Nothobranchius furzeri: one gene and its partner. The protein of the gene in region 2 binds, or shares a complex with, the protein of the main gene of each other region. Links are inferred from orthologs where the notes say so. Each region holds a gene or a part of one and is shown on either strand. Other genes may lie near its edges. The genes, in order: cstf1 and cstf3.

The links.
Region 1: the proteins of cstf3 (region 2) and cstf1 are in contact, whole or in part, in a crystal structure (PDB 6B3X), measured with the Homo sapiens proteins. The link is inferred for Nothobranchius furzeri from reciprocal best matches to the Homo sapiens genes CSTF3 and CSTF1. Residues at the interface, in NP_001317.1 of Homo sapiens: Tyr581, Pro582, Lys583, Pro584, Asp585, Thr586, Gln588, Met589, Ile590, Pro591, Phe592, Pro594; in NP_001028693.1 of Homo sapiens: Arg118, Glu216, Ala217, His226, Pro227, Ser228, Asp230, Phe231, Thr240, Arg242, Leu243, Tyr244, Cys251, Phe252, Val253, Ser254, Cys255, Tyr270, Ser272, Ser273, Ala274, Asn275, Gly291, Val292, Ser293, Asn294.

What each region holds. Positions count from the first base shown.
Region 1 is NC_091743.1:5,435,677-5,439,947, reverse strand, and holds the start of cstf1 (cleavage stimulation factor subunit 1), read right to left. Parts: upstream 2,983-4,271; 5' UTR 2,901-2,982; exon of another isoform or gene 2,842-2,900; intron 2,607-2,841; 5' UTR 2,577-2,606; coding exon 2,408-2,576; intron 1-2,407. UniProt on the Homo sapiens protein: One of the multiple factors required for polyadenylation and 3'-end cleavage of mammalian pre-mRNAs. May be responsible for the interaction of CSTF with other factors to form a stable complex on the pre-mRNA.
Region 2 is NC_091749.1:32,981,291-32,985,106, reverse strand, and holds the end of cstf3 (cleavage stimulation factor subunit 3), read left to right. Parts: intron 1-54; coding exon 55-181; intron 182-605; coding exon 606-683; intron 684-757; coding exon 758-920; intron 921-1,113; coding exon 1,114-1,223; intron 1,224-1,302; coding exon 1,303-1,419; intron 1,420-1,511; coding exon 1,512-1,730; intron 1,731-1,805; coding exon 1,806-1,908; intron 1,909-1,995; coding exon 1,996-2,065; intron 2,066-2,144; coding exon 2,145-2,340; intron 2,341-2,425; coding exon 2,426-2,576; intron 2,577-2,669; coding exon 2,670-2,764; intron 2,765-2,937; coding exon 2,938-2,998; intron 2,999-3,080; coding exon 3,081-3,280; 3' UTR 3,281-3,637; downstream 3,638-3,816. UniProt on the Homo sapiens protein: One of the multiple factors required for polyadenylation and 3'-end cleavage of mammalian pre-mRNAs.

The DNA of each region.
Region 1 (4,271 bases), on a different chromosome or scaffold from region 2:
TATAGCTCGAAACGAAGGAATATTCGTTAGCTGTAAGCCAGCATGTGTCTCATTTCAATCGGACCTACGGTTCTCTCGGGACAACGCCAGAAATGGAGAAAGGGAGGGTCACCGCTCCTATCTTTCCCCATTATAACTTTTGTGAATTTTTCTGAAAATTTCATGTCGTACCTCAACTTCTACCTGCGATTTTAGAAAAACCATAAAAGATATCAAAAAGCCTCTTTAATATGTTAAACGGGAAAGTCTTGTGAGTTTGTTAAACTTTGAATGAAGTCTCTAAGTTAAAAGGAACCCTATAGAGTTTTAGGTCAAAAAAGTGATAGGAATTAGCTGAAAATTGACCAATCCCATTCATTTCAATGGGAAATGTTTTGCTGAAAAGGCTTAACTCGAAAAATTTTAAAGATATCAATGCCAAAAGTAAGAGGCGGAAAGAGCTTGACGAGCTGAACGTTTTGATATAAAATTTTTGAAATAGTAAAAAATTTGAAGGAGTAGAAAAGGTTCAAAAAGTGTACGGAAGCAGAAGAAGAAGAACTAGAAAAACAGGAAAACAATAGTTTGAATGCTTAACAGCATTCAAACTATTATATTAGAAAAAGTAATATGGTTAAAAAACAGGAAGATGGTGGAATAAGTGCACTAAACTTTGTGTTAATGGTACCATTCAAATCAACTGGTTGAGGAACTTTATTAGTGACCATGATAGTTTTTGGTTTCATATTCCAAACACGATATTCAAAAAACTTGGGGGCATAACCTTTCTCCTCAGATGTGACCATGATATCAGAAAGCTCCACATCAAGCTAGCGCTCTTTCACCAGCAAGTACTCTTATATTGGAAGCTGATCTATAAACACAATTTCAGCCCCCATTCTACCCCCTTTTGGAAATGTAGGTACGTAATTTCAAGAAATTAATCTCTGTATTACCAAAACTGGGTTGATAAAGGTGTCTGGTCAGTACTACATATGTTAGATGACTATAGCCAATGCATATCGTTTGATGCTTTTAAAACACAATACGACCTGCATAATAGAGAGGAATATGTAAAGGTAATCAAAATGATTGCGGAGTCTATTTGACTAATATCCCATAATTTAAAGATAAATAATATAATTCCCAGACTCCCAGCTGTTCACCTTGGTGGGCTCGCTTTTAAAAGACACGAAAAAATTAACCAGTACATCTATACGTAGGCATTACATTCAAATACTTCATCCGTGCTCTCCGATAAGATTCTAATATCTTGTTATCCATCTTCGGAGACCCAAAAGAGAATTAGAAGTCACTTCTTTAAATACCCAATTGCTCAGAAAGTTAAAGAAATGCTATTTAAAATTGGGTGAACTCCTGTGGCTTAGATTTAACTTAGACCACGATGGCTGTGCCTTTTGCGGCTTGGAGATGGAAACTACTTGCCACATATTCTTTGACTGTAACTGCACAAAGGTTTTTTTGGGCACGAGTGGAAGGCTGGTTAAAATCCAAAATACAGATGCTGCCTACATTCTCAGAACATAATGTTTTATTTGGGTTTTTTCAGCAATAAAAGAAACTGACCTGATTTTAAATGTCATTGTACTTTTAGGTAAATTTTTATAAATAAGAACCGTGCTCTGAAAAATACCCCATATTTGCCTCCTTTTCAGAAAGAAATTGATCTTTTCTTTAGGTCTCAAGCTCAAGAAAAGTAGTAAAGCAACAATTCTATACTCTGCAATGGAAAAATATCTGTTAACCTCTGACTCCTAACACAAATATGGATTTGTAATATGATATCTCCCCATTTTTTATTTATTTTTTTCCTGTGTGTTGTTTTCCTTTAGCTAATTCCACAGTTATGTTAAAGTATTTGGTCTTACTGGAACTCTTTTCAAGGTACTTCTGTCTGCCTGTAAAATTGATTGTTATTCAATGAGAGTACTATGCCATGTTATTGTTCTGATACTTAAAATAAAATAAAAAATAAAATAAAAATAAAACCCAATTTCTCATGCTGACACAATGTTTCATCTGAGCTACTCTACACACTTCTCTCCAGTAGGTTGTGCAACTGCACTCAGCAGTACTACGCTACATTGACCACCTATAAACTCGACAAAATATTGCCATTAAAGCGTTTTCTAACCCACAAACTGCAGTTTGTTGAAAATGAGGACAAATATTTTTTTCTGTGAAAAGCGACTCTGATATCTGCAGTCGCCTGCAGGCAGTAATGCATTGGTGCAGCACTTACATTCAATCTGACCTAAGATCACCGCGCACCTGGGCCTTTGCATCATCCTAATTAACCCCACAATGGCTATAACCCTGATCTTCATCTGAAGCTAAATGAGGTAAAGTGAAGAGTTCCTGTTGTCCTGCTGTCGGACAAACAGGACAGGACAGGGTGGTGTCTTACCGATCTTAGCCAGCTGCATCAGCTGCTCGGACGGAGACACCACATTCTGAGGCTTGACCTCGTTGATGAGGCTGTTGGCGACGTTGGTGTACCCGTCATGAAGCAGCTGGCCTATGATGAGCCTATAAAGGTGCTGTCGGTCCTTCAGGGTGGGTTTAGGACGAAACATGATGCTCCCTCAGCTGCAGCGGCTAGTAATCTGTAACCAAGCACAGCAAAACTTATCCCAGCACTAGGCTAGCTCCTCTAGCGTCATCTATGACAGCACAGGCTAAAGCAGAGCTAAACCCCAGTCAAACAGAGCAGGGTGGACTGAATGAAACGGCTATGATGCTAACAGCGTTAGCTTTAACCGAACAAACTGCTGCAGGTAGACAGCAGCAGCGTAAGCTGAACCAAGTGCTGCAGTAAGACAAACAACCGGGCGAACGAACCCGGCGACACTTCAGACGCTTTCCCGGCTTCTTCAAACGTAACAACTAAAAATACTAACCTCTCTAATCCCAAACCCAAACGTGCGTTACGTTTTACGTAAAGATCGTGCTCACGTGACGTTGACGTCATGTTACTGTGTTGTAACTTTATTGACAAACCACACAGATGACACGAGTTTCAGAATTGTTCCTCAGTTAGGAGGAGTTTTAAGAGACGACCCATAGTAAAAACACGAAAACAGAGTTTGGAGTTAGTCCACTTTCACCTGTTTCATCAGGTGTAGTAGTTCGATAATAAACTATTGTGGAAACCCCATGTTAGACACGTAAAGACAAACATCTCCACAGGCATCTCAATTTTAAATAAAGCAAACCATTCATGGAAGAGAATGTACCCCGTGATCCTCCTCCATCTGCTCCTATTCTCCAGTCCCGCCCTACGTCGTCTCAGACAATCAGATCCGGTTTCATCTCCATCCCTCCTGTACATGTTGATGCCGTCTCAGCACCTCAGATGAGTCCACCCTCCACTTCACAGCAGCAAAGAGTCCGGGTTTCATCTCCTGATCGGCGTTGCTGGCGAGGCACGGTTCCTCCTGACGCCACCTCCAGTCTTCTGGTGGGTCAGGTTGCTAAGGGAGCTGAATCCTCACCTCAAGGTCTGCGCTCTTGGTCAGTAGATGTCCCAGAAATCTCCTCTTCTCCCCCGTTTCTGCCAACATTATCCCCGCACCTCCGAGGAGACGCACTCGTCACAAACATCACCACCATCACCAGCAGTCTCCTGAAGCCAGAGCTGTGCCGCCTGTCCAAGACGCCCCTGCTCTGCAACCCCCTTCTGAGCTCCATCTACCATCACCACATCTTGCCTCAGCGGTGGTCCAAGAGGACGCATCGCTTCCTGCTTCGGCGGTGGAGGACGCAGAGGCTCCGGTCCAGCCCATCCACGAGGCTCCGGTCCAGCCCGTCCACGAGGCTCCGGTCCAGCCAGTCCACGAGGCTCCGGTCCAGCCAGTCCGAGAGGCTTCGCCCAGTCCGACGCCTCCAGCCCAAGGGTCAACTCCTCCAGCCCAAGGGTCGACGCCTCCAGCCCAAGGGTCGACGCCTCCAGCCCAAGGGTCGACGCCTCCAGTCCAAGGGTCGACGCCCTCAGGCCAGAAGTCGACGCCCCCAGGCCAGAAGTCGACGCCTCCTGTCTCGAAGTCAGCAGAAGTAGACGTTTCCAGCTCTGAAGTAGGCATCTCCAGCTCCAGCTCTGAAGTAGACGTTTCCAGCTCTGAAGTGGACGTTCCTGTCTCCAGCTCTGAAGTGGAAGTCTCCCAGTTACAAGTGTTTCTGTCTCAAGTCTCCCAGTTACAAGTGTTTCTGTCTCAAGTCTCCCAGTTACAAATGATCCTGTCTCAAAAGTCTCAAGTCTCCCAAGTCTCAAG
Region 2 (3,816 bases):
TTGAATTCCATGCATGATTTATTTATTTGTGTGTGTGTGTGTGTGTTTACCTAGTGAGGCCGTGGGCTCATACGCAGAGAATCAGCGCATCACTGCAGTACGGAGAGTGTACCAAAGAGGCTGTGTGAACCCCATGATCAACATTGAACAGCTCTGGAGAGATTATAGCAAATATGAGGAGGCAAGTGACCCAAATACCGCCCTCTTGTTGTTTTGCCTATAGCACCTTTAGCTTGCTCATTATTCCTGCACAGTATTTCTTGGTGAAACACATGGGAACTCAAACACCAAGCTCTGTTTTGAGAACACGTGCAGTTTCAGTGTAAACATGCAAGCATGAAAAACAACGATGGTTCGCATGAGACGCCCTGAAGAGGAGGCCACTGTCTTCCAAACCAAACGCACTGGTCAGCTCAACAGCTGATCTTTCTCAGAAAACTAGAGGAAACCACAAAAAACCAAAAGTATAATGAAGCACGGTGGTGGCAGTACCACGGTTTTGTTCATGCTGCTGCTTCTGTATCTGCTGGATTCACAAACTTTGATTTTCAGGTGTTTAAAAAACTGACGGATCCCCGGTCTGATCTGCCTACATTTATCCACAGGGGATCAATGTGCATTTGGCTAAAAAGATGATTGAAGATCGGAGCAGAGATTACATGAATGCAAGGAGGGTGGCAAAGGTGAGACGTCCATCAAAGATCTGTACAGGTTACTCATCCTAAAAACTCATACAGGTCTGTTTCCCAACATTCAGGAGTATGAGACGGTGATGAAAGGACTAGACAGGAACGCACCTTCAGTACCGCCACAGAACTCTCCTCAGGAGGCCCAGCAGGTGGAAATGTGGAAGAAGTACATCCAGTGGGAGAAAAGCAACCCACTACGCACAGAAGACCAGACCCTCATCACAAAAAGAGGTAACCAGTTTGAGTTGAACCTTGTTGTTGAAGCTCTTTTTTAGGTAATGGATGTACACATATGGATATTTAACTCATTTTTAAATTCAACCACCAGGGGGCAGCATTTTACACTTTCTCCTTTTTCAATCTAACCCAGGCTTCTACTTGCATTCATTGGAATTTAATTGTATTTATTTGTTGTGTGTTGCAGTGATGTTTGCCTATGAGCAGTGCCTGCTGGTGCTGGGCCACCATCCTGACATCTGGTATGAGGCAGCCCAGTACCTGGAGCAGTCCAGCAAACTGCTGGCAGAGAAAGGAGTAAGAAGATCAAATATCAATCAAATGGCCTTCGATCAAAGACGTTTCCAGATTATTATTTAACTTTTCCTTCCAACAGGACATGAATAATTCTAAACTGTTCAGCGACGAAGCAGCTAACATCTACGAGCGTGCCATTGGGACTCTTCTGAAAAAGAACATGCTTCTCTATTTTGCGTTTGCCGACTATGAAGAAGTAAGTGTGTGATTTAATGTTCGGCGTAAACAAGTCGAGAGGAAAAGCAGCACTAGAGCGTCTCAGCTCATTTCCTCTCGGTGCCTCCACAGAGCCGCATGAAGTACGAGAAAGTGCACGGCATCTACAACAAACTGCTGGCCGTGGAGGACATCGACCCCACGCTGGTCTACATCCAGTACATGAAATTCACCAGGAGGGCAGAGGGCATCAAATCGGGCCGGACCATCTTCAAGAAGGCGCGAGAGGATCCCCGCACGCGTCACCACGTGTACGTGACTGCAGCACTGATGGAATACTACTGCAGCAAAGTAAGACCACGACACACGGCCTCCTCCAAACAACTCTTTCTACCTGGTTTCTAATTCCCTTCCTTTCTTCTGCAGGACAAATCTGTGGCCTTTAAGATTTTTGAGCTTGGTTTGAAGAAGTACGGTGACATTCCAGAGTACATACTCGCTTACATCGATTATCTCTCACACCTTAACGGTAGGGGAGAATCCTCTAGAACATCTCTTTATTGCTGACTCTTAAAGCATGAAGTCTGTCCCTAAAAGTGCCCTTTTTTCTTCTCAGAGGATAACAACACACGGGTTTTGTTTGAGCGTGTTCTAACCTCAGGAAGCTTATCACCAGAAAAGTCTGGGTATGGCCACGCTTCTGTTGAGCTGTGTGTGTTTTTGCCAAAGCGTCACGTTAACATCCACAAACCTCTGGTTCCTCAGAGAGATCTGGGCTCGGTTCCTGGCGTTTGAGAGCAACATAGGAGACCTGGCCAGTATTCTCAAAGTAGAGCGCCGGCGCTTCACTGCCTTCAGAGACGAATACGAGGGCAAAGAAACGGCCCTGCTTGTGGACCGGTACAAGTTCATGGACCTGTATCCCTGCTCCACCAGCGAACTCAAAGCCCTTGGCTACAAGGTGTGCAGACTGCTCATGTTGTTTACAGCCATGGGGTTCGATCCAGCGTAGTTTTGTGTTGACATGAACTGATCATTGTCCTCAGGATGTGTCTCGTGCCAAACTGGCAGCACTGCTTCCAGAAACCGTGGTAGCACCCTCTTTGCCTACACTAAAGGATGAAATCGATCAGAAACCCAAGTACCCCAAACCAGACACCAATCAGATGATCCCCTTCCAGCCACGTCACCTTGCTCGTACGTGATCCCTTCCAGAGCATCACAGATTCACCTATTTCCAAACAGACCCGACGCATTAATGGATTTCTCTTTGATGTTTTTTCTCTGCAGCTCCAGGCCTACACCCTGTCCCTGGTGGAGTTTTCCCAGTCCCCCCAGCAGCTGTTGTTCTAATGAAGCTGCTTCCACCACCCATGTGCTTCACTGTGAGTCGCAGGCTGCAGCTGAGTGCTGATAATCTATATTTGGTGTTGTGTTTGCTTCACAGCCAGACAGGACACGGGAAAGATATATATATATATATATATATATATATATATGGTGTTAAAAGGATTTTTGTTGTAAAATGTCTTAGAAAGCTTTTTTTTTGTGACTGTAGGGCCCTTTTGTTCAAGTGGATGAGCTGATGGAAACTTTGAGGAGATGCACACTTCCTGAGAGTGAGCCACTTTTTTGTTGCTGTACAACGAAAATTGTCTTTTTTAACAGAAATGGTAAATGTCCTCCTGAACTTTGCTTTAGCTGTTGAGGCTGCTGTAGAGCTGATCACCGGCAGACTGCCCGATGCCAGTGGGGAAGGAAACGGAGCCATGGAGAACCACGCTATCGCCAAGGCACTGAAGAGGCCTAATGCTGACTCTGACGAGGAGGACGACAAAGGAGCTGTGGCTCCGCCCATACACGACATCTACCGTGCACGCCAACAGAAAAGGATTCGATGAACTCAAACATCAAAGTAAACCCTTCGAGAATGTACTCGTCTTATGGTGGTTAAAGATCAGTTAGTCATGTCTGCTCTACCAGTCTGCAGATATCCTGATGAGTGCACACACACACACACACACACAGAACCATTCAAAGTGTGTGTGTGCACCCAAGTGTTCCTGTGACTTTTGTTTTGTCAGCAGTTTTTATTTTTGAAGACTGAACAGTTTACTGTACATTTTTAACTCGATTGTGGATTTCTGTATCCAGCTCACCGTTGATCTTATGTTTCAGCCACAAAGTGCAAGAAATTTGTTTTGTTTTAGATAACTGGAGGAAACACAGTTTCTGTGAATGAAAGTGGATAAAAGCAACCATTGTGTGTGTGTTTTTTTATTATTTATCACTGGTAATATGGCTTCAAAATCTCAAGTGAATGTTTTTAGTAAATGAGTTGCAGACTTTAAAATCACCAGCAGGGCGCGCCCTTTAGCTATGTTGTGCCATCTTTATTTTCCCCACTAGAAAATAACTAAATAGAAAGTAAAGTACT